Linked DNA regions of Caenorhabditis elegans. The protein of the gene in region 3 purifies or fractionates together with the protein of the main gene of each other region. This does not show direct contact. Each region holds a gene or a part of one and is shown on either strand. Other genes may lie near its edges.

The links.
Region 1: the proteins of sacm-1L (region 3) and bris-1 purify together in Caenorhabditis elegans (affinity purification with western blotting, with the first as the bait; one study listed by BioGRID). This does not show direct contact.
Region 2: the proteins of sacm-1L (region 3) and arf-6 purify together in Caenorhabditis elegans (affinity purification with western blotting, with the first as the bait; one study listed by BioGRID). This does not show direct contact.

What each region holds. Positions count from the first base shown.
Region 1 is NC_003282.8:3,815,033-3,822,434, reverse strand, and holds the start of bris-1 (SEC7 domain-containing protein), read left to right. Parts: upstream 1-3,106; 5' UTR 3,107-3,111; coding exon 3,112-3,335; intron 3,336-5,102; coding exon 5,103-5,171; intron 5,172-6,980; exon of another isoform or gene 6,981-7,067; coding exon of another isoform or gene 7,068-7,123; intron 7,124-7,204; coding exon 7,205-7,332; intron 7,333-7,402.
Region 2 is NC_003282.8:16,943,747-16,951,237, forward strand, and holds arf-6 (ADP-ribosylation factor 6), read left to right. Parts: upstream 1-3,373; 5' UTR 3,374-3,381; coding exon 3,382-3,463; intron 3,464-3,530; coding exon 3,531-3,634; intron 3,635-3,724; coding exon 3,725-3,822; intron 3,823-3,905; coding exon 3,906-4,006; intron 4,007-4,226; coding exon 4,227-4,287; intron 4,288-5,633; coding exon 5,634-5,715; 3' UTR 5,716-5,988; downstream 5,989-7,491. Other genes in the region: Y116A8C.9 (Transmembrane protein 185B), read right to left, coding at 338-508, 1,087-1,284, 2,570-2,666, 2,728-2,826, 2,879-2,956, 3,008-3,054; rad-54.B (DNA repair and recombination protein RAD54-like), read left to right, coding at 6,321-6,363.
Region 3 is NC_003279.8:9,484,016-9,493,120, reverse strand, and holds sacm-1L (Phosphatidylinositol-3-phosphatase SAC1), read right to left. Parts: upstream 4,634-9,105; 5' UTR 4,625-4,633; coding exon 4,468-4,624; intron 4,421-4,467; coding exon 3,886-4,420; intron 3,647-3,885; coding exon 2,976-3,646; intron 1,135-2,975; coding exon 811-1,134; intron 733-810; coding exon 623-732; 3' UTR 501-622; downstream 1-500. Other genes in the region: F30A10.3 (Kinase), read left to right, coding at 6-86, 134-178; Stomatin-like protein stl-1, read left to right, coding at 5,095-5,141, 5,191-5,326, 5,369-5,527, 5,592-5,899, 5,981-6,305; gly-21 (GLYcosylation related), read right to left, coding at 6,581-6,756, 6,801-6,931, 7,133-7,242, 7,286-7,431, 7,868-8,021, 8,096-8,561, 8,610-8,710, 8,930-9,049.

The DNA.
Region 1 (7,402 bases), on a different chromosome or scaffold from region 3:
CACTTTTAAAACGTTCTCGACAAAATTTGCAAACTTTCGCCAAGCTTCCTTCAACTTTCGACAGTTTTGGAATTATTTTTGTTTGCTATAATTATTTAAATTTATGAGCATTTCGACTATTTTCGACAGTTTTGCCAAATTTCGCAAAGCTTTCTTCAACTTTCAACAATTTTTGAAAAAAATTTTCAACAATTTATTGCATATTTCTTTGAATTTCTACAATTTAAACAGTTTTTGCCAAACTTTCGACAACTTTCGCCAAAATTCCTTCAAATTTTTCTAACTTTCAATCGCGGTAAGGTATCTGACATCTGTGTCCTTTCGAAAGTAATTGCAAATAACGAAAAAGAGTGATAAAACACAATGACCACGTCATAAAAATTCCTCTACCATCTCAAATTTCGACATTCCTTCTCGCTTTCTCAGTTACTCACCAAAAAACATACCTTCAGTCAATACATTTTTTGGCTCTTCTTAAAACTTTTTCTCTCACAGAGCTGCAATTTATACGTCTCTGCTCGTTTCCGAGTAGAGCTACTGCATTTTTTGCTGTACGTCTCGTATTTTATCGGGGCGCACCAAAAAGTGTACTAATTCTGCAAAAGAGCACTTGATGTCTTTATGACATTCTCTAGCACAATCTCTCAATTTCACACGCTATCAATTTATGAGGTGAAGCATCTTTTCTCTGCGTTTCCGAGTCTTGCACACTCTCTTACACTTGACGGAGCTCCTTTTCACTCCATTCATATTATATTTTATGTTTCTTGGAAATGCTTCAAACTGTTTTTTTTTTGCAGTTTTACGAAGCTATTTTCTTATCAACTTTTTAGTTTTTTTTCCCTGAAAATCTGAAAAATTTATACTAATTTTCGTCAAGTTTCATCAACTTTCGCCAAATTTCTGACAACTTTCGTCCACTTTTGCCGATTTTTGCCGACCAAAAGCCGATTTTCGGCAAATGTCTAGCAACTGTTGCCAACTGTCGTCAAATTTCGTCTTACTACTCTTGTTAACTTTCGCTTTGCTACTTCCGTCCCACTTCTTGGAACTTTATTTTTCAAATATTTTGTGATTTTTGTTCAGCGTCAGTTCAAGCCGATGTCAAATAGGTCAACTTTTTTCTTGGAAGTTGTCGAAAAAGTTAGGCAAAAAGAAAGAAATATATGAAAAAGAACGGGCAAGTTGTCATCAGACCGCTTTTTGGTCGCCAAATCCCGATATCCCCTTGAGGGGATCATCCCTTCAGTTTTTTGGTTGCTTTTTCAATGTTTTCACTCAACAATTTTTGCTCTTCTTATGGCTTTTTTGGTCTCCCATTCAGTTCCTTTCTTGGAGTTTTTTTTATTAATTTTTTTACAAAACAACTTTTTCGACAACTTTCGGCTACTTTCGACAAATGTCCTTCATCTTCAACTAGTCATCTTGAAATTTTTTAAAACTATTTTTCCCAAATTTCGACAACTTTCACAGGATTTCCTTCAATTTCCGCCAAGTTTTTGCAAAACTGTCGCCTAATTATCGTTAGTTTTCGCCAATTTTTGTCTAATTTCTTACTTTTTTGACAACTTTTGATGAATATCTTTCAACATTCGATCACGTTTACAAAATTTCCTTCGACTTTTTGCCCAACTTCATAGACTTTCTCACAACCTTCGCCAACTCTTGCCAAATCTTCTAGACTTTCGACAACTATCCCTCCACTTTCTATCAACTTTCTTCAAACTTCTTACAACATTCGCCAACGTTTCTAAAATTTTAGTCAACTTTCGCTTTTTTTTCATGTTTCTCACTACTTTTGAGAATTACCAGGCTCTACCCTACTTTAAAAAATCCACTTTTTTTCAAATTTCATATATTTTTTCCTGATAATTGTATATTTCCTCCTCCCCTCTTTTTCATTCTAATTAGCCTCCGCATCGCGGCATCCTTTTTTGGGATTTTCCAGAACAAGCTTTTATTCGAAGACTTGCCTCATTGTTATGCAATCCTGTCCGCTCTCTTCTCTTTTCTTTATCCTCTCGTCTCCATCAATAATCAATTTGATGAGGCTTCTGCTAACTGACCATCTCAAACGACATTTTTTTCTTCTTTTTCTTCCTTTCGAACAAATTGACCTCAACTTGTTTTTTTTTATTTCTCGTCCTTTCAATTCCCTTTTTCCTTGCATTTTCTCCTAGAGAAGTATATCAAATTTCCTTCACTTTTACCTCTATGCTACAACTTTTTTCACTTTTTTTTCACTTTTTTCTCTTTTTGATTCAAATTTATGAGCTTTGCAACTTGCCATCTTGAAACAAAATTAGTTCCGTTTAAAAGTTATTTCCAGTCAAAATGTGCATGTTTTTAATGTTTGGTTTTTGAACAAATGTTATGATATTGAAAAAGTAATTATATACAATTTTCAAAGCGAAATTTCTAGTTTTGACGACTATTTTGTTACCGTATGAGATATTTTTCTGAATGAGCCTTTTTTCCAGAACTTTGAAGCGCCATAACTTTTTTTTTTAATTGCAAAATGTCTCATTACGAAATTTGGTAGTTCTGGGTCATATTGGGTCTACAAAAGCAAACTCTCAAATTTCGGTACTCCACCTTTAATTAGTTTAATTAGTTTAATTAGATATATCAACCTATACTTTTCAACAGTCTTATTGAATTTTGTTTTTTTTTTGCTCAGAATTTTTCGATTTGTAAAAACTCTCAAAAAAAGATTTACAACTATTTTTTCGTCATTTCTTCCTAACAAAAACTTCTTCAATTTCTTATCAAATCAATTAACAGTTCCACGCCCTGTTTTTTCTTCTGTTTCTGCCAGTGACTAACACAAATTCTCTTGGTCGGTGACCAGTTTATTTCCAGCCATCGTCCTTATCATCCCACTTTTTTTCCTCGTAATCGGCTCACTTTATCGATTTTTCCGCATTTTTTTGTCATTTTTTTCAATTGATAACCTTTTCATTCGCAGTTTTTTTTGTTAGAATTCCAGAATTGTTTTTCATTTTTTTAGTATATTCCTCAGCAACACTAGTCCTACATTCTCTCGGAATTTTAATCCGACATAAGAACAAAAGGTTCTGGTTCCGTTAACTTCTGAAAATTCCAGCCCAAATGCGAGAAACAAAAGAATGGCGAGGCACGACGTCGACGAGCCGTGTCTTCGTACAGAAGGGCTATCAATTGTCCGATGAGCTGGCTCTTCGAAAAGTGCAAGTGCTCGAGCGAAGATATGGTGGAATGCAACTGGCTCACAGAGCAGCAACGGTTATACAACGCGCGTGGCGCGAGTACTGTATTATGAAGCAGTGGATGGTGATTCGACATAAACATGATACGTGAGTTGATTTTCGGAAAATCTTCTGAGCTTGATACTTGAAAATCTATAGAAATTGAGCTCAAATATAGCGCATTTATGCGAAATGGTCTCGCCAAGAAAAAATAATGTGAGAAAATATGATAATAAAACTTTTATTTATTTATTTTGGAAAATTTTTATTTTGAATCAAAAAGCGATGAGAGCTCAGTTTTCACCCATTTGTTTGAAGTCGTCAATCAAAAAAAAAATTACATCAAATTTCATGGACTATTCATGATTATAATTATTATTGCCGGCAATTGCCGTTTGGCACATTTTTTTTTTGACGGAAATTTTAATTCCGGCAATTTGCCGATTTTCTGGATAAAAGTGCTATCTCGGCATTCGCCGCCAGATTCTTGCCCATGTTTCACAGCTTTTAATCCAAGTTTCGCCCAAAAAAAATTAACATGGATTAGAAGCTGGCCAAACTTGGGCCACACTTGGGTCAAACTTGGGCGATGCGTCAAAAAAGGAAAAAAAGTCAACCGCTGTGTAGCCCACTCTCACTCAGCCCAAGTTTAGCCCAAGTTTAACCCAAGTTTAGCCCAAGATTCACCTGTATGTTGAACTTCTATCGTTTTTCCCGTTGTGCTGATCTCTTACCTGTTGAGCCATGATGGTCGCGCGAGAATATTTTATTAATTTCAATATTAATATTGCAAACTGTTGTTTCTACCTACGCGTAGCCATTCTCATAGGTTTAGGTTAATTTTCAGTCAGTACTGTATTCGATAATGCTAAATCATAATGAATAAATTTCAGTTTTCTATTGATACCATTTTTCTTCAGAACCCAACTTTCTGAACATTCTATCAAGTATCTAGTGCCGTTGTAAATTCTCGAGGGGTCAGTATTTCAGAAAAGCTTTTCGAGTAGTTCAAAATTTTGATTAAATGATCGGAGAATAACAACTTTTAGCTATCAAAAATTGATTAAAAAAAATTAAACTCAAATTTAATCACAACAGAAAACATTCTTCACGGATTTAAATTAAATTAGCAAAATAATAATGATATTTAAACAGTTCCAATCACAAAATTCCTATTTTTTGTCCGCCGAGGGCGCTGCGGAGGCGCGCCGCGTGTTCAAAGTTGGGCGAGACTTTGGCGAAACTTGGACCTAAGTTTGGCCAAAGTTTGGTGGGATAGTTTGCTTTAGAAAACTTAAACTTCGGTCAGACTTGGGCTAAACTTGGATGAAAAGTTGGCTAAACTTGGGTAAGAAGCTGCTGAGAGCTAAAGTTGGGCAAGAAGCTGCAGGTAAATGCCGAGATAGTTTTTTTTTTCAAAAAATGGCATAAACTCAGTTATTGCCACTTTTTGACAGTCAATAAGAATTTTTCAAAATTGTTTTGAAAAGGTTTAATTACTATGATATTTTTGAGTACTTAATTTAAAAATTTCGACACTGCCACTACTCCACCTTTAAGTTAATCAGTGCTGATACTTTTTGATAATTCCCATGACAGCATCCCTAATTCAAAACCCAATATAATAACTCACACACACAAGTTTTTCCGGAACATTATCACATCACTGTAACCTTTGTCCAAACAAATACGCGACGATGGCAATCTATGTTTTGCCTTGTTTGAAAGCGAAACGCCGCTTCGATTCCTTTCATCTAACTTAATACCTGCTTGCAAAGTGTCTATCGCTCTCTTCATTTCCCCGTAGTCTCTAACTCAATCAAATCAACTGTTCTTCTTCTTCAACAAACAGAACTTTGTTTCTCTTTTTTGCAGAATACCAGACCACCTCGATGCAAGATGCGGAGTGTCAAACAGTCAGCGGAACGAGCTATCACTAACCAGGTTTGAATTTTCTTTCTTTTTCTTTCCATCTCTCTCTCTCTCTCTCTCTATCTACTAAAGTATTTGTTCTTCCCATGAGTGACCAACTGGTACCCGGGGCGGCGTACCTCTAAAAATGACTCAAATCTTGCTATTCTTAGAGATATCTATGTAGTCACTTTTTTATAGCTTCTCATAAAGCGGTATGCTGCGCGAAACCCGAAGCGTAGCGAATTTTATGACAACAATTCTCAGTTGATTTCCTTTTTCTCGCGCCTATCCGTGACGATTCTCACTTTCTCGATTTCAAATCAGCCTATGTTAAGCGGAAAACTTTTTTTCGTTTTGTTTAAAATCATTTAAGAAGGTTTAATGATCTCACAGGCTCTCAACACTTTTATCATATCACGGGAGCAAAAATTGTAAGAATGCGTATTGCGCAACATATCGGACGTGTGAAATATCTCGTAGCGAAAACTACAGTAACTCTTCAAATGACTACTGTAGCGATTGCTTGTGTCGACACGAGGTTCTGGCCTTCCTCGTTGAATTTTTTGCGCTCCATTGGCAATCGCCTTCCGGATAACGCGTGGGAAAGTCGTGTACTCCACACGGACAAATACATATAGTTTTACAACCAAAATCGAGCCGCGACGCGACACGCAATGCGCCGTAAATCTACCCCAGACATGGCCGAGCCGAAATGGCCTAGTTCGGCAAACTCTTCCATTTCATTTTATGGGGGAAGCCAGAAATCCGTGTGTCGATTGATGGGCTCGATTTTCGAAAGGAATTTTTTTCGAATAGTGATTGCGGTGTTCCATTATCGAGAAATAGTAAAAAATTTCGATTTTTGTCCTCTAGCCGACTAAAAAACCCAAAAACAGTATCTCCACGAATTCGCGATTCTTCGATTCTTCGATTCCTCATGACGTATAAGTAAGAAATTGAGCCAATTTTCCTGTTTTTTTTCTATTTCTCTAATCCTGTGTTTCTCTGGACATTGCATTACATTATTATTGTTCGAGCCCACAGCAGCTTCCTCTAGAAAATTTCCTTTTTACATAGGTGAAACGATCCCTTCCGGTTGTTTCGGAGGAGTATTTATTTGGCACACTACAATTTTGCTCCCACACACTTTTTTTTCCGAATTTTTTATATTTTTCTTACGATTTGTACGAATCACACACAAGAGAACGTGTCAAAATGGGACGGATTACAAGCTGACCACACCACCACACAGATAATTTTAGAGGGCTCGGCGAGCTGTCAAAAACCCGAAAATAAACATTTTGTGTGTGTGTGTGTGTCCATGTCGGCCAGCAGCAGACACCCCACAATCATTGGGCTTCTCTTGTGTCGGGGCAAGATATTTTTTATTTGCAGATTTTTGATCCAATTTAGAGTGTTTTCGTACAAATTTTCTAGAACTGACCTAGATTTTTAACGATTTTTGGCCTGAAATTACGTGAAAATCCCCGAATCTAGGTTTTCTGCTTTTTTTTTCCAATTTTACAAACGTTTGTTGCAAAATTGTTTGACATTTAAATATCGTAGTTTTACGCGAAAAACGTTTTTTTCGGAAAAATTCAAGAAATTTTGAAAAAAATTTTAAGAGACACCACGTTTTTTGTGGATTTTCAATTTCGTCGAAACAGAGATTCTAGAGAAAAACTGCAAGTTTTAGAGAAAAACTGCCAATTTTTCTATTTAATTTTTAGAATTTACTATTTTACATTTTCACAATTGTTTATCTTAATTATTAATTTTGAAAAAATTGGTGAAAAAGCAGATTTTTCCGCCGATTTTGTTCCCGGAGAATAAAAAGTTACGATGCAAGCGCGCTCTACTGCTAAACGCATTCTAAGAGGCAATTAAAAAGTTTTAAATGCTTTTCATCACCAAAATTCATTAAAAATGAATTTATTTTACGCAATTCTCGCTATAATCTCAAAGATTTTTAACGCATTAATGTAAGTATCGTCTAAAAACTCAGAATCTCTCTGAAAATTCAATTTTTTCTCAAAAAATTATTAATTTTTAATAATTTTCAGCCGATACGCCACAAGTCTCAGCGCACAGCTCCGGATAGACCGTGCCGCTCGTTCAACAACACTGGACAGAAGTCCGCCGTCACCGGCGCCGCCCGTCTTGGTCAATTTGCAGAATTCGAATATGATTGGTGAGGATCCAGGAGAAGGGAGGAGCCAGAGCTCTGCGGAGCCCGTAATAAACTAATCTGAAGTGACCAC
Region 2 (7,491 bases), on a different chromosome or scaffold from region 3:
AGAACCAAGAAGTGAGCGGAGCCTATATTGTTGGGATCGCAGTTATCGGAGAAGCGAATCTATGGGAATTTTTCACTCAAAACTGGCTTTTTTAATTGTTAAACGTGAAATAGTAGAAAAAAAAAGAACCAAGAAGTGAGCGGAGCCTATTTTGGGATCGTAGTTATCGGAGAAGCGAATCTATGGGAATTTTTCACTCAAAACTGGCTTTTTTAATTGTTAAACGTGAAATAGTAGAAAAAAAAAGAACCAAGAAGTGAGCGGAGCCTATGTTGGGATCGTAGTTATCGGAGAAGCGAATCTATGGCAATTTTTAGCTGAAATTAGCTCAACTCACGAAAAACGTGTGTAAAATCGCAGAATAAACGTGTTGGCGACGGTGAGCCGGAATGAAATGACGAGATCTGATGAGCACAACGGAGAGCACAAGAGCGTAGAGAACACCGACAGCGGCAAGGGAAAGGACCACCCATAGAGGTATGAATACGACTGCCCATGTCCAATCGACCTGCAAAAATTTGGGAAATGTTGATTATTTTAGGTAATTTTGGGGTTTTTGTGATTTTTTTTTAATAGAAAAAAATGGATTTTTTTTAGGCCAAGAAGTAGGCGGAGCTAATATGTGTGATAAATTCCCATAGATTCGCTTCTCCGGAATTATCATCTCCATTTAGGCTCCGCCCACTTCTTTATTCCGTTTTCTACAGTTTTAAATGAAAATATCCGCAAGCTAAGAAGTGGGCGGAGCCAATATTAGTGAAAAATTCTCATAGATTCACTTCTCCTAAACCGGAATCCCCATTTAGTCCCCGCCCACTTCTTGGATCCGTTTCTACAGTTTTAAATTAAAATTCCCAACAGCCAAGAACTGGGCGGTGCCAATATGAGTGAACATTTCCCATAGATTCGTTTCTCCGGAACCAGAATCTCCTGTTGGGCTCCGTACACTTTTTGGTTTTGCTGTGATTTTAACCAAAAAAGTGGATTTTTGGAGGTTTTTAAGCGAATTTTTTGGGTTTTCTAGTGATTTTTGTACTAAAAATTCAAAATTTTCACTGGAAAAGTCATTTTTCCTCGATTTTTTACCTGTTTATCCAGCTTGAAAGCGATAAAAACCAGCTGAACAATATTAATTGCGTAGAAAAATTCAAATTCGAATGGTTTATCATGCCGGAGGGACCATATAGCTATTCCAATTGATAATATTGATAAAGAGAATAATGGACAGAATACAATTGTCCATGGAAGTGGATATCCTGGTTCGAAGAGATAATCGAATTCTAGCTGGAAAACAAAATACGGGTTTTGGAGGGAAAAATGAACGGAAAATTTGGATTTTTGGCATTTTTTGGGGTAAAAAAGACTAAAAAACTAGATTTTTGGGCTAAAATACACCAAAAATCTAGATTTTTCTAGTTTTTTGGGTTAAAATACATAAAAATCTGGATTTTTAGCTGTTTTTAGAGTAAAAAAGACAACAAACTGGATTTTTTGCAGTTATTAGGGTAAAATGACCTGAAAATTTGAATTTTTGGCATTTTTTGGGGTAAAAAAGACTAAAAAACTAGATTTTTGGGCTAAAATACACCAAAAATCTAGATTTTTCTAGTTTTTTGGGTTAAAATACATAAAAATCTGGATTTTTAGCTGTTTTTAGAGTAAAAAAGACAACAAACTGGATTTTTTGCAGTTACTAGGGTAAAATGACCTGAGAATTTGGATTTTTGGCATTTTTTGGGGTAAAACAGACTAAAAAACCAGATTTTTGGGCTAAAATACACCAAAAATCTAGATTTTTAGCTGTTTTTAGAGTAAAAAAGACAACAAACTGGATTTTTTGCTGTTATTAGGGTAAAATTACCTGAAAATTTGGATTTTTGGGATTTTTTGGGGTAAAAAAGACTAAAAAACTAGATTTTTTTTGGGCTAAAATACATAAAAATCTGGATTTTTACGATTTTTTTAAAGTAAAAAAGTCCAAAAATTTTGATTTTTTCCATTTTTTAAGGTTAAAATATCGAAAAAAATAGATTTTTTTTTGTTTTTTGGGTAAAAACACCTCAAAATCTGGATTTTTTGAATATTTTAAAATAGAAAACCTTTTTTTATCGATTTTTTCAATAAAAAATTGGGCAAATTTGTGATTTTAAAGTTGAAAAATTGATTTTTCTTCATTTTTTTCATTTTTTCAGTGAAAAAGGAATGAATTTATGAATTTTCGAGTCAAAAACTGTAGAAAAATCGATTTTTCAGCTACTTTATTGAGCTTTGCTCTAAAAAATGAAGATTTTTCACTTTTTTTTCAAGCAAAATGGTCAGAAAATGTAGTTTTTTGGCTTGAAAAGGGTTATTTTTACACATTTTTGACCCATTTTATCGATTATTAAGGTCAAAACAAGCAATTTTGACAAAAAATCAAGAAAAAAACGCAATTTTTTCGGCTTTTTCTTGATTTTTGTCCAAAAAATTCGGTTTTTTCGCTGAAAAACTCGCTTTTCCACGTAGAAACTCGATTTTTGGCCATTTTTCTTCATTTTTATCTATTTAAATCCGCTTTTCCATCGTTTACCTTAATAAAAACCAGCGAAACAAATGTACAAAGAAAAATGTGCTCGGTAGCAGTGATTAGCATAGCCGAAAAGTCGACACGCATCACAATTTCGTTTCTGAAATGTCAAATTTCTTTATTTTTTCCACATTTTTCCAGCTTTTTCCAGCTTTTCCCACCTCGACGGTGGTTTTGAGCAAAAAGAGCAAATTCCGACGATGGCTCCGACGAAAACTAGGAGATTACAGGCCCATAGCGGCGCAAAAACGAATGCGTAGCTGGAAAAATCGATTTTTTCGGGAAATTTCTGATATTTTGAGGATTTCCAACCTAAATGAGACTTTTCCATCGAGTTTTAACGTGAATAATGCCGTGAAAATTAGCAGACAAGCGCAGAGAATTACTTTTCTGGAAAAAATTCAGGGTTTCTAGGTGAATTAGCTCGAAAAATAGACTTACGATGCGTTAAACGATCGGAAAAAGACTCCCAGACTTAATTCCACCATTTTTTGTTCAATTTTTAGCAATTTTTCATGATTTTTTCACTGAAAATCTGAAAAAATTGAATAAATCAATAATAAATTCGATTTATTCCACGAAAAATAAAACACGAAAACAATAAATCCCGTGCGCACCACTTGCAAATAGCACGCGCGCCGCTTGCAAAACTGGGCGGAGCCACGCGGAAATTGATTTTTTCTTCCTTTTTCCGCCGTTTTAAAGCGAATTTTCGCGAAAAATGACTCATTTTTGTTGATTTTTCAAGTTTTTTACTCAAAAATCGCACTAATTTCGGTATTTTTTGCCTAAAAATCACATTTTTAGATCGAAAAATGGGTAAATTCCTGTCGAAAATCTTTGGCAAAAAGGAGCTCCGGATATTAATGCTCGGACTCGATGCGGCGGGTAAAACCAGTGAGTTTTTGGCGGAAATTTCGATTTTTACGGCTAGAAATATGGAAAAAATCGATTTTTTTTCCAGCAATTCTGTACAAACTGAAGCTCGGGCAATCAGTGACCACAATTCCGACGGTGGGCTTCAATGTGGAGACTGTCACGTATAAAAATATCAAATTCAACGTTTGGGTGAGTTTTCCGCCCCAAAAACCCTGGATTTTGGCCTAAAAACCCCAGATTTTGGCCTAAAAACCCCCAAAAACCCCAATTTTTCTTCAGGACGTCGGCGGACAGGACAAAATTCGACCCCTCTGGCGACATTATTACACAGGAACTCAGGCGCTCATTTTTGTGATGGACGCCGCTGATAGAGACAGGTTTTTAGGCGAAAAATGCGGAAAAATTGGTTTTTTTCCTGGACAAAATCGATTTTTTCAACGGAAAAATTCGGAATTTTCAGAGTCGACGAGGCGCGAATGGAGCTTCACCGAATAATTAATGATCGGGAAATGAAGGAGGCGATTATTTTGGTTTTTGCCAATAAACAGGATCTTGCCGATGGTTTGTGGCTTTTTTGGCGGAAAATTTGAGCGAAATGAGCGATGCTACACCTAAAACTCGGAAAAAATCGATTTTCAGCTCAAAAATGAGCGATTTTACCCCGAAAAACTCGGAAAAAATCGATTTTTAACCTAAAAACTCGAATTTTCAGCTTTTTTTGCTTAAAAATGCCCGATTTTACTGAAAAAATGGATTTACTCACTAAAAATGCAATTTTCAGCGATGAAACCACACGAAATTCAGGATAAATTGGGATTGACGAGGATTCGAGACAGGAATTGGTAAGAAACATCAAAAACTCGAGGAAAAACTGATTTTTCTGCAAAAATACATCAAAAAACACCCATTTTCTCTCGGAAAATGGGTAGAAAATGCAGATTTTGGTGTAAAAATCAAATTTTTCCGATTATTTCTCACTAAAAATCTCGTTTTTATGCAAAAAATACAATTTTTTTAAATTTTCTCGGAGAAAAAGCATAAAATAGCGATTTTCGCTTAAAATTCCCTCAGTTTCTTCTAAAAAACCTCCAGAAACGAAATTTTTCTTCTTTTTTTTTAACGGAAAACTCTAAAAATTCGCCTTTTTTTCGGTTTTTTCACCAAATAATTCAGATTTTAAGGCATTTTCATCAGTTTTCGCACTAAAAATCCAATTTTCCACCTGACAACGCTCAAAATTAGAAAATTTATCGTTTTAGAGCCATTTTCCATCAAAAAATGCAGTTTTTCAGCATTTTTTCAGTAAAAATTCAATTTTTTCATCAAAGTGCTTGAAAATCGAAAATTTTCCGTTTTTAACCGATTTTCTAACAAAAATTCATATTTTCAACATTTTTTTTTCATTAAAAATTCAATTTTTCCCTTAAAAAACGCCCAAAACTCGTTTTGCCGGCTTTTCCCGTTTTTTCACAAAAAAAAAACCATTTTTCCATTACAAAGTGCTTGAAATTCGAAAATTCTCCGATTTTCGACCAAAAATTCCAGATTTTCAGCTATTTTAAGCCAATTTTTACTCAAAAACTCATATTTTCCACCTGAAAACGCTCAAAATTCAAAAAAAGTTCCTTTTTTTAACCGATTTTCTACAAAAAAAAAGCAGTTTTTCAACAATTTTTCACTAAAAACCCATTTTTCCTTTAAAAAAAATGTTCCAAACTCGAAAATTGTCGGTTTTTGGCCAATTTTCCCAAAAAAAATCGAATTTTTGCAGATTTTCAGCTATTTTCATCCGTTTTTCACGGAAAATCCAATTTTCTCATCAAAAAGTGCTTGAAATTCGAAAATTTCCGTTTTTACACCGATTGTGCACCTAAAATTCCGGATTTTACGGCATTTTCATCAGTTTTTGCACTAAAAAACCCATATTTTCCACCTGAAAACGCTCAAAATTCGAAAAATGTCGATTTTAAACCGATTTTCACCTAAAATTCCGGATTTTCAGCAATTTTTCCACTAAAAAAACCCATTTTTCCTTAAAAAAAAACGCTCCAAACTCGAAAATTGTCGGTTTTAGGCCAATTTTTCACCGAAAAAATTGATTTTTTTCAGATTTTCAATCAAAAACCTTCATTTTTCACCTAAAAATCCACGGATTTTCACCCATAATTTCCAATTAATTTCTTTGCAGGTACGTCCAACCATCATGTGCTTCAACCGGAGACGGCCTACACGAAGGCCTGACGTGGCTAAGCCAGAATTGCAAGCCGTAAAACACATTATCTGAAGAATTTGGAATAAAAAATTCGCGTCTTGCCAAATATTAACAGTATTTTTTTCACTTTTTATCTGCAATTTTTTCTGTTTTAAATTTTTTTTTAATTCAAAAAAAAAAAAATTTTTTTTTCAAAAAATTTTCAATCCCTTAAATTTTAACATTGTGTGTGCCATGCTTATTCCTATTTTCCCTCTCTTTAATTCACAGAAAATACTCGAAAAAAATGCTCAAAATGCTCCCCAAAAAAATAAATTTCCAAAATTTCCCCCCCCCCCCCCCCCCTAGGTGCCCAATTTTCACTTATTTCCCCACTGTTTTTCCCGAGTTCCCCCCCCCCCCCCGAAAAAAAACACTAAAATCACTGCTTTTCTCCCCAATTTTTGCTCCATGACCGAGGTTTTTCTCGGCCGCGGCGACCTCCAATTTTCTCCAAATATATTCGCTGCCATTATCTGTGATTTTATCGTTTTTTATGGAGAAAAATATATTTAAAAAATCGATTTTTTGGCCAATTTTATAGTTGATTTTCTTTAGGACGAAATATTTTTTGCTGCCAGATTTTCAGATTTTTAGGCCAAAAATTTAAATTTAATATTTCAGATGTCCCGAGTGGTTCTCAACGTGGATAGTTATGAGGGAAATGGTAGGCGCCTACGCCTATAGGCTGAAAATTTCTGAAAAATTGGCATTTTTGGCTGAAAAATTCGAAAAAAAAACGACCAAAAATGGTTGGAATCTGAAATCCACCATTAAAGGGGCGGAGCTTAGCCGGACAATTTTTTAGGGAACGCATATCGCCGGGAATCGAATCTATGTACAATTTCTACAAAAAGCCAATAAATGGGCGGAGCAATGCCACGCCCATTTTCCCGGGGCTCGCAACGAATTTGTTTCCGTAGATCGTGTTCTTCCAAAAAAAAAATCTTCCAGAAATTGAAGCCCCGCCCACAAAATGGCAGGTTCACGATCTACCAAGAAATGGGCGTGCCCTACTAAGCTCCTCCCACTTTCGCTGCAAAAATCGTGATATCCGAATATTTTTCGGAAAAAATCCCGAAATTGACGCTCCGCCCACAAAATGGTCGGTCCGTGATCTACCAAGAAATGAGCGTGTTCAGACATGCTCCGCCCATTTAAGGGGCGTGGTGTATTACGTCCCACCCACTTTCCCGGGACTCGCAACGAATTTATGCCCGTAGATCGTGTTCTTCAAAATAAAATCTTCCAGAAATTGACGCCCCGCCCACAAATTGGTCGGTCCATGATCTACCAGGAACGGGCGTGGCTTATTATGTCTCGCCCACTTTCGCTGCGAAGATCGTGATCCCCGAATATTTTTCGGGAAAACAATTCAGAAAGTTAAGCCCCGCCCACAAAATGGGCCGCCCATGGTCTACCAAGGAGTGGGCGTGCCTTGTTAAGCCCCGCGCAATTTAGGGGCGTGGCGTATTACGCCCCGCCCACTTTTCGGGTCTCGCGACGAAATTGTGACCGCAGATCGTGTTTTTCGAAAAAAAATCTTCCTGGAATTTAAGCCCCGCCCAAAAAAGGGCCGCCCGCGATCTACCAAAAATCCATTTTTTTCAATTTTTTTCAAAAATGGACAAAAATTCGGCAGATCGGAATCTACCGCCCATTTTTCGGGTCTCACAGAGAAAATATATCTCGGAGCCCATCTTTTTCATATTTTTTCAAAAATGGACAAAAATTCGGCAGATCGGAATCTACCAAGAAATGGGCGTGGCTAGGTTTGCCCCGCCCACTTTTGGGT
Region 3 (9,105 bases):
TTTAGGATCTTGCATATTCTGGTGCCGACGAAGGATGCCTTCTTGGTCTTGATAGTATTGTTGAAGCTATGGAACCTATTGTTTCGGTGAGAATTCAATTTTAGTATCAACTAAATCTATTTGTATTATTCAGAAAGATCCCGTGACACCATCTTCATCATTCGAGAAGAAAAAGTAGAAATGTTCCTGAATATTTAAAGTATATTTTATCACTTTTTTCCGTCAACTTTTAATGACATCCTCCCGATGTAAAACTCCTCCCGTTTGTATCATTCCCATCTGATCCCAGTCAATTCATTTCCTCTGCATCTTACCCATCTTTCTTCTCTGCGTCGTTTCGTTCTCTCCCCCCTACCAAATGGGTCTCATTCAATTTTTATTTTTGTTTTTTCTTCACACTTCATAATGTGTGTTGAAGAACAAAACCAAAGAAATTTGACTGTGTTACAGTGCCAAAAATGTATTACTGAAAATAGTTGTTCTCTCTGCATAATAAACTTGTTAGTACAAACTTCATCTACAATAAATAAACTCTCTCTTTCTACAACGCGAAAAAATAAATACACAAAAAAGGGGTGCAACTTTGATTGTAGGAATGAACGGTTTTCGGACAGATATGGCATTAGTCCAGTTTGAGCTTCGGAGCATTTACAAATTCTTCGCCGTTCAAAAATATGAACATCATACAGACAAAGAAAATGACCATCCAGAAGATTGTTGCGGTGAAGTTGTCTGAAAAAATGTTTTTTTTTTGAAGGATTCGGAATATTATCGAGTATCGTGTGCAATAGTAAGTGATTAATATAGTACCTGCAACCAAAAGACAAAGAATTGTCATTGACATGGCAAACAACGCGGCAATAAGGGCAAGACCATTCTGATCCGTTGATAGAATCGAAGATTCCAGCGAAACAGGAAGATCTGACGAATCGACTAGGAAGTTACCAAGGAAGAGATCAATTGAATCTTGACGGTATCCATCTCCAAAATTATTTCGTACGTAACGGGACACTGCATTGACACCGTCTTTCATTGCTCCAACATATGTCCGTCTTCCGTGACGAGTGAAATCTGCTTTCAATGCGCCTGTTCCAGCATATTGACGACTACATTCATCACCATTATCTGCCCACACTGAAACATATTTCAATAGAAGTAATTGGTATTTGAAACTATACTTTAAAATAATCTATGCTCTGACAAGATGACCAGGGGTGTAGATTTTCCATTTTTTGGTTTTTTTTCGTGTTTGTGGCAATAATGTTATTTTTTGCATTTTTTTTTGGCAAATACTGTTTTACTACTTGATTTTTTACTACGTATCTCTTTTACTACAAGATCTCTTTTACTACGGAATCTCTTTTACTACGAATTCCGCATTTAGATCTTTTACTACAATTGGCTCTTTTACTACGTGTTCTCTTTTACTACGATTTGATCACATAGATCTTTTACTACGGAAAACACTTTTTTACTACCTTATCTTTTACTACGTGGATGTTTTACTACGTTTTACTCTTTTGCTACGGACATATTTTTACTACGTGGAGGGATACTGTTAGGTTACTGTAGAAATTTATTCACTATGAAATGAGCTTGCTCTCTTGTAAAACTTGTAAAAATTCCAGAAACATTCATGACATTTGCAAAATCCTCTATAAATGTTTCTCAAAAGATTTTCTGAAAAAGAAAAATGTAGGTCCGATACGTTTGAGAATGCAGTCTCGCTAAACACTCTTATCTCGGTCGTGTCAAAAAGATTTCAACTACAAAGTTGTTGAATATAGCATGGTCTACAATTTGTCAGTTGAACATTTTTTACCAAATTCTTTTCGCGGAGTTATCGGTACTCGGAGTCAATAAGTTTTGTGAACACACTTTCGGTAACTTATCTCTGTTGTTTTAATCTAAAATCGTGATATGAACATTCAAGATGATAGAAAACAATAAACTGCTTATTTTATACAAGATTTGATAAATCCAGAAAAAAACAAATTTTTGATCAAAAGTTCCAAAATTTCAGTTGAAGTCAAAATTTCAAACATCTGACAGATAACTGACCGAACCGCAAGTTGTTTATTACATTTTTAAAACTTATACATCAACCGGTATGGAACTAATTTTTTGGTTACGCGAAAAAAGTTAAGTACTCCAACAACAGTATCACTACAGTAACTCAACAGGATCCCTCCACTAACTCAATCTCAGTATCCAAAAAAACTGAAATTTACTAGAACTACTTGAGCACAAACTTCAATTGTGACCTATATATTTTTAGAAAATATTCATGCATTTGTTTATATCTAGCTTATACTATAAATATTGATTATTAATTCGTAGTAAAAATTACGCAACATAGTTAAAAATATAATCCCTGCCATTGTATTTAGTAAAAAATTTTTCCTAGTGAATATATTTCTAGCAATTAAAAAAAACTATAGTATATAATCTGAAAACTGTTATTTACACAATACCACTACAGTAACCTAACAGTACCCCTCCACGTAGTAAAAATATGTCCGTAGCAAAAGAGTAAAACGTAGTAAAACATCCACGTAGTAAAAGATAAGGTAGTAAAAAAGTGTTTTCCGTAGTAAAAGATCTATGTGATCAAATCGTAGTAAAAGAGAACACGTAGTGAAAGAGCCAATTGTAGTGAAAGATCTAAATGCGGAATTCGTAGTAAAAGAGATTCCGTAGTAAAAGAGATCTTGTAGTAAAAGAGATACGTAGTAAAAAATCAAGTAGTAAAACAGTATTTGCCCATTTTTTTTTGAAAAATAAGTGAGCGAAAATGATTGATATACTGACACACTCATGAATCTGCGAATTCAGATCAAAATATTGAGTTTTTTTGGAATAAAGTTGTAAACTTTACATATTTTTTTCATTGTCAGTTATTGATCTTCTAAAAAATCAACCTTCGATTTCAAACGATTTTCGTTTTTCAAAAAAATAACTTTGATTAAACTCACTTTGTTTGAATGCATCTTCAAGAAGTGGAATATCTTGAACTTTCTGCTCTGAATATAAAATTCCAAGCATTCGAAGTTGTTCGGTGAGTGATTCACGTGCCAACATCGACTGAACCACATTGGTACGATCTAGACAATCCATGCAATTCGTACGGAAAAATCCACGTTGGAATCGACTTGTTTCCATACTATTCGGGGACAAGTAAAAATATCCAAAACTCGAAATTTCTTGGCTTAACTGCTCCCGCAACAAATCAATTCGGTGCCATTGCATAGAATGACATTCTTTGTGAAAATCAAATTGATGGTAACGAACAAATTCGATATTTGCTTGTCGTGATATTCTCTCCAGTTCTCCTCCAACTTTTTTCTCTCTTCCTTTTTGATTTACAAGATTTACAATCACATGTTTACCACCATAGTGTTGCTTGTGCCACGAAAAAGCTCGATTGAAAGCAGCAAGCTGGTCATCTGTTGGTTTCAGTGTAGGCATCGGTTGCCAACGTAGATTTGGTTTTTGAGTCCAGAGAAGAGGAATAGAACCTCTCAATTGCACAAACGAAGTCAGGTGCTTGTCAGGATTCGTGTATTCAACGATTTGTTCTGTTTCAACAAAGTTTGCTGCATGACCATCTACGTCGACTCCACGTTTATAGAAACGGACGCCAGCACTGAAAAATTGAATTATACTAATAGTTTTTTTTTCAGAGAAAACTATGAAAAAACATGAAATTCGTACTAAAAAGGTTAATAATTATTTAAAACTAATATATCTTGGATTCAGACAAAACATTTTTGTGAAAAGCGAGCTCGTTGTTAGAAGTATTAATTTTTTGTCCAGAAAATCGAAATAAACGTTTTTTTAATTATTACAAATTTATTTAAAACATTTTTAAGTAAAAAAAATTACCGATAAATGCTTCTTCTGGATATGATAGTCAATTTAATCTCTTTTCCATTCACATTCACACGATTCTGGCCAATAAAACCATGAATAACGGGCAATGTGTATCTTTCTGCACCAGGGACCTGCCGGATCTGTGACAGTAGATGTCCATTCCATATGAAACGTTCGCTGGCTCTGTCCAACATACTTCTTGTTTTGAACAAAGGAACAGCGTTCTCCTGAAGCCATTGAAATGTGCGTGAGATGTCAAGAGTCGTCGAGTAGTAGAATCCGCCAATAGACAGCACATGAGTGAGCATATCAGTGAATAATCTATTATATCTAATTTGTTTCTCAGTCAAGTGAAGTGTTGTTTTCTTGTAAGGAATAATCTCGGCATCTTGAATAGTCCAGATGTTGTGATTATTAACTTGTCCGATCAAAGAAGCCTTTGTTATTACGATCAAAGCATATCCTGAGACTAGTTTAATTGTTCCCAAAATCCCATAAATAAACTTGATGTCCGTATCAGCAATTGGAACTCGCTGCTTGCGTGAATCTGTAATTATAAATTTATATTTAGATCAGACCAAAAGTCAGACTTACCAATAATTTTCATCACATTTGTGTGTCTATCGATTTCGAGATAATGTTTCGACGCAGCACCACCGCCGAGATCGGTTGGTTCTAAGAAGAATTTTTCTGGGTGTGAGTACAAGTTGAAACTCTCGTAGATGTCCATACTCAATAGACTATCCACCATTTTGGAGAGCTGAAAAGGGAATGAAGTTTGTTGTGGAAAAAAAATATGAAAAAGAAGAACGACGCATGAAAACAAAAAAATCAATAAGAGATACAACAATAGTGATAGAATACATGAAACATGTTTTCTTTGAATGCGAAAACGTGGAAACGGGTGACGACACTCCGTCTTTCATATGGGAGCGTTGTTTACCGTAAATCTACACAGACATTATTTTAAATTAATTGTATTTTTATTCTTTATATTTTTATACTTTGTGAACGTTTCGTTTCTTAAAAATTGAAGAATAGTGGTGTTTATATTAAAATCTCTCAGTCCTGATGTAAATGTGCATATTTTTAATCTATCTCTCCCACTCGGCCACCACCATGACGAAATACTTTTCTGCCATCCTCCTCCCACTAATACATTATTTAAACTGCTGAATCTTTCGAAATTGCATTGCATCATTAAAAATGATTTTACAGAAAATGGCGCTAACTAATCGACTTTTAATGAATTCGTCAGCTCTTCTAAGGTAGGCCGATAAATTAAATTATTGTGAGGGGGGCAATTATATTATTTAGAAGTTCAACGCTCCCATTAGCTGTGACATCATCACGACAGGCCCATGCTGCACATAATACTGTCATCAATTTTGTTCCACAGCAAGAAGCGTGGGTTGTAGAAAGAATGGGAAAGTTCTACAAGATTCTTGAACCGGTAACATTTCCTAAAAGGTAATTAATAAACCAACTTTTTCAGGGACTCAACTTCTTATTGCCTATCATTGATAAAATCAAATTCGTTCAAAATCTTCGTGAAATTGCAATTGAGATTCCTGAGCAAGGAGCCATTACAATTGACAATGTACAACTCAGGCTCGACGGAGTTCTTTATTTGCGTGTTTTCGATCCCTACAAGGCATGTGACGCCTGTTTTTTGATTCGCCTGTAATTGAAAAATAACACTTCTTTGTAAATTGCAGGCATCGTACGGAGTCGATGACCCAGAATTCGCAGTAACTCAATTAGCGCAGACAACGATGAGAAGTGAAGTTGGAAAAATCAATTTGGATACAGTATTCAAGGAGAGGGAATTGCTCAATGAAAATATTGTATTTGCAATCAACAAAGCATCAGCACCTTGGGGAATTCAATGTATGCGATACGAAATCAGAGATATGCAGATGCCATCAAAAATTCAAGAAGCTATGCAAATGCAAGTTGAAGCTGAGAGAAAGAAAAGAGCCGCGATTTTGGAATCAGAAGGAATCAGAGAAGCTGCCATTAATAGGTATAATATTTTTCCAATTACACATTTCATTCAGTAACATCGTGAGAGTTGTAAAAATATTCTAAATTTAAACATTTCCAGGGCCGAAGGAGACAAGAAATCAGCTATTTTGGCGTCTGAGGCTGTTCAAGCCGAACGTATCAATGTAGCAAAGGGAGAAGCAGAAGCAGTAATCCTTAAAGCCGAATCTCGTGCCAAAGCTATTGAACGTATTGCATTGGCTCTTGAGAAAGATGGAGGTGCAAATGCTGCTGGATTGACCGTTGCAGAGCAATATGTTGGAGCTTTTGGAAATCTTGCCAAGGAATCAAATACTGTTGTTCTTCCGGCAAATCTCAGTGATCCAGGAAGTATGGTTTCTCAAGCACTTGCTGTTTACGACTCATTGAGCAATAAGAAAAAGTGAAAATGTTTTGTTTGAGTTTATGTGCAAGCGTAGTTTCCGTTTCTCCATTTTCATATTTCCCTGTTTCTAAATTTTGGTTTACTGGTATTTGAATGTAATTTTACATCATCTTTTCAAAAATCTCTTGATTGTTCGTTATTCTAAATTTTCAGCAGATGAATTAGTTGAATTTTCATTTGAATTCAATTTAAAATGCAGATAACATGATTTTCAGAGGAAAACTGTTTAGTGAAAAATTTGAAAATAATAAACAAAATTTTCTTTAAAAAACTTGATCAACATTGAAAACTATTCTTGTAATAAGTTCCATTAGCTTTCAACAACATCTCACGAAACTGTGGAAAGTAGGAAAGCCATTGAGAATCTGGATTATTTCCTGTTTTATTGGTTTTTATCATTTCACGAACGCAAATTATCGTTCCAAAATCGAAGTTGGCGGTCACTTTGTTTGCTGAAAAATCAATTTATTTATAAACATGAATGTTCAAAAATCACCAATAACCATCGGACTTTTTGAAAGTTCTTGTAGAAATTCGACTCCAATTACACATATTGAATGCCTTAACCACTTGGATTTACAATCTTGATATAGTCCGTCGGATTGTTCAAGATGCCAATGAGTTTGACTGTAATTTTCAGTTTTCTATTTGCAATGTAAGCCTGCCTTCAAGGTGACCTACACGAGCCTGATTCTGCACTTGGTACACTTGGAAATTATTATCATTAGAATTTTCAAGAGAGTCAAATAAAGAGCAAAAAAATAGGTGACATGCAGACATGAGGTAGGCAGGCACAAACAAATGAAGGCATGCCTATCCTATACAAACCGTGTTAATATATCTTCCTTTGCCACGGTACAATTAGATTCCATTTGCCCATCTAATCCCAAATAGTTTTCAAAAAGTGTCATAACCATCATTTCGTCAACCCCAAAAAGCTGAAATTGAATATTATTCTCGTTTTCAAGAGTAGAACATTACCGTTCTATCATCAAATCTTTTGATTACATTTTGCAGATTCACTTTATCAAATAAAGACTTGACAAATACCTTCGAAAGGATTACTTCGTTTAAACTTTTTCGAATTTTTAGTTTTTTGTGGAGTATTTCCAGAGGTACACTTTGTTCTGAAAATAAAATTATGTTACTCTGTCATGTAATTTTTCGATATAAGAATGCGGCACCTCGTCTCAAAGGCCTCCAAGCAAGGAGTACTGTAGCATCTCAAGTCTACAGGACCTTAAAGACGCAAACCTGTTCGTGCTGTTCGATTAGAAAATATTTTGTACTTTTTGTGAGACTGGTTTAATTAAAGACGTTTTGCACTATAAATCCTAAAATTTAAGTAATGTGCAAAAAGAAAAAAAGCATAAAAGTCTAGGCGGCATCAGCCTTTGGAATGGTTTTTTAAAATTTATTTTTTTATTTTTAAGAAATAATTCAGTCGGCTCAAAGAAGTTTTGGTACTTTTAGGAAATGTTTTCTCATCTCTATTTTGTACTATTCTCTATATGAATAAATGTAGTCTATCAAAATTATAAGCCCACATGAAAAAAGGAAAACCATTTTTGAAAAGTTTCATTCCAGCTGGAGTCCAATCTTCAAATGTTCGATATCTACTTGTAAATCCATAGTCAAAACCCATGATACTGGTGTAATTTAGAATTTCACTGAGATCAGATAGTTGTTTAGGAGATTTGATTATCAAGTCGAAGTTCTGAAAATAATATTTTTAAAGAAAGAAAACTGAAAAGAAGAACAATTCAGAATTTCAAGAAAATATTTTTTTACCTGTAATGTAATGGCATGACTCCAATGTTCATCAAGAATTTGTTTTAAACAATCAAAATGTGCAGCATCTTGTTTATGACCAGCTCTATCCATATCATATTCTTTATCCAACACAATCACATTTTCAAAGCAATCAGCCATTATTCTCATAGATTTCTTCAATTTTTCACTACTTTTTGAATCCATTGCATAACAGAAATAGTTATCCGGGTGATATGAAATGGATAGAAAAACCTCTTGTAATTCATATATTCCATAGATATTTCGAACAAATGCAATAGGTCTTTTCAATTTTTCAAATGGAGGCATATCTCGAAAAATACGATTTTGAATTGAATCACAATCCATTGAAAGTTGAAATAATTTCTCTTCATCTAACTTCATTCTTCCATTATTAACATATGTGTCAATGGACTCCACATCTCCGTCGATTAGTCTAGCACAATTTAAATATCGACTTTCAGATCTGAATAGTTTTTTTTTTAATTTCAAAACATAAGTAGGTTTTGCATACTCTGTAAAATAATAATCTGCGAATTTCGTGATGCTTCTTGTTATATGCTTCAGAGGAGCGCGCTCTTTTCCAGATAATCTCACGATAAATTTGTTCGGAATCTGAAATTTATGAAATTATGAGAAAGAAATCGGTCAATCAGTGGTTCGCGGGGCGTGGCTAACATTGCTAATTGGTGGACACAAGAACTTTAATTTCAAAATTTTTTATTATTTTTCAGATATTTTTTCTGATTTTCAGCCTACGTTTTAGTGAAGTTTATTTTGGAAAATATCGAAAAGTTCTGATTTTTCCAAGTTTTATTTATTTATTTTACTTACCATCATTGATTTGTAGGAAACTGTTAGTAAAATTGAAAAAGAAATTAAAAGAGCTATAAAAATAAATATTCGAATTGACCATTTTGGCTCCTGAAACTTCTTCAGAGATTCGTCCGTATTCTGGAAAGAAATGCATTTTCAACATGCGAAAAGCTTGATCGCTCAAAAAATTTTAA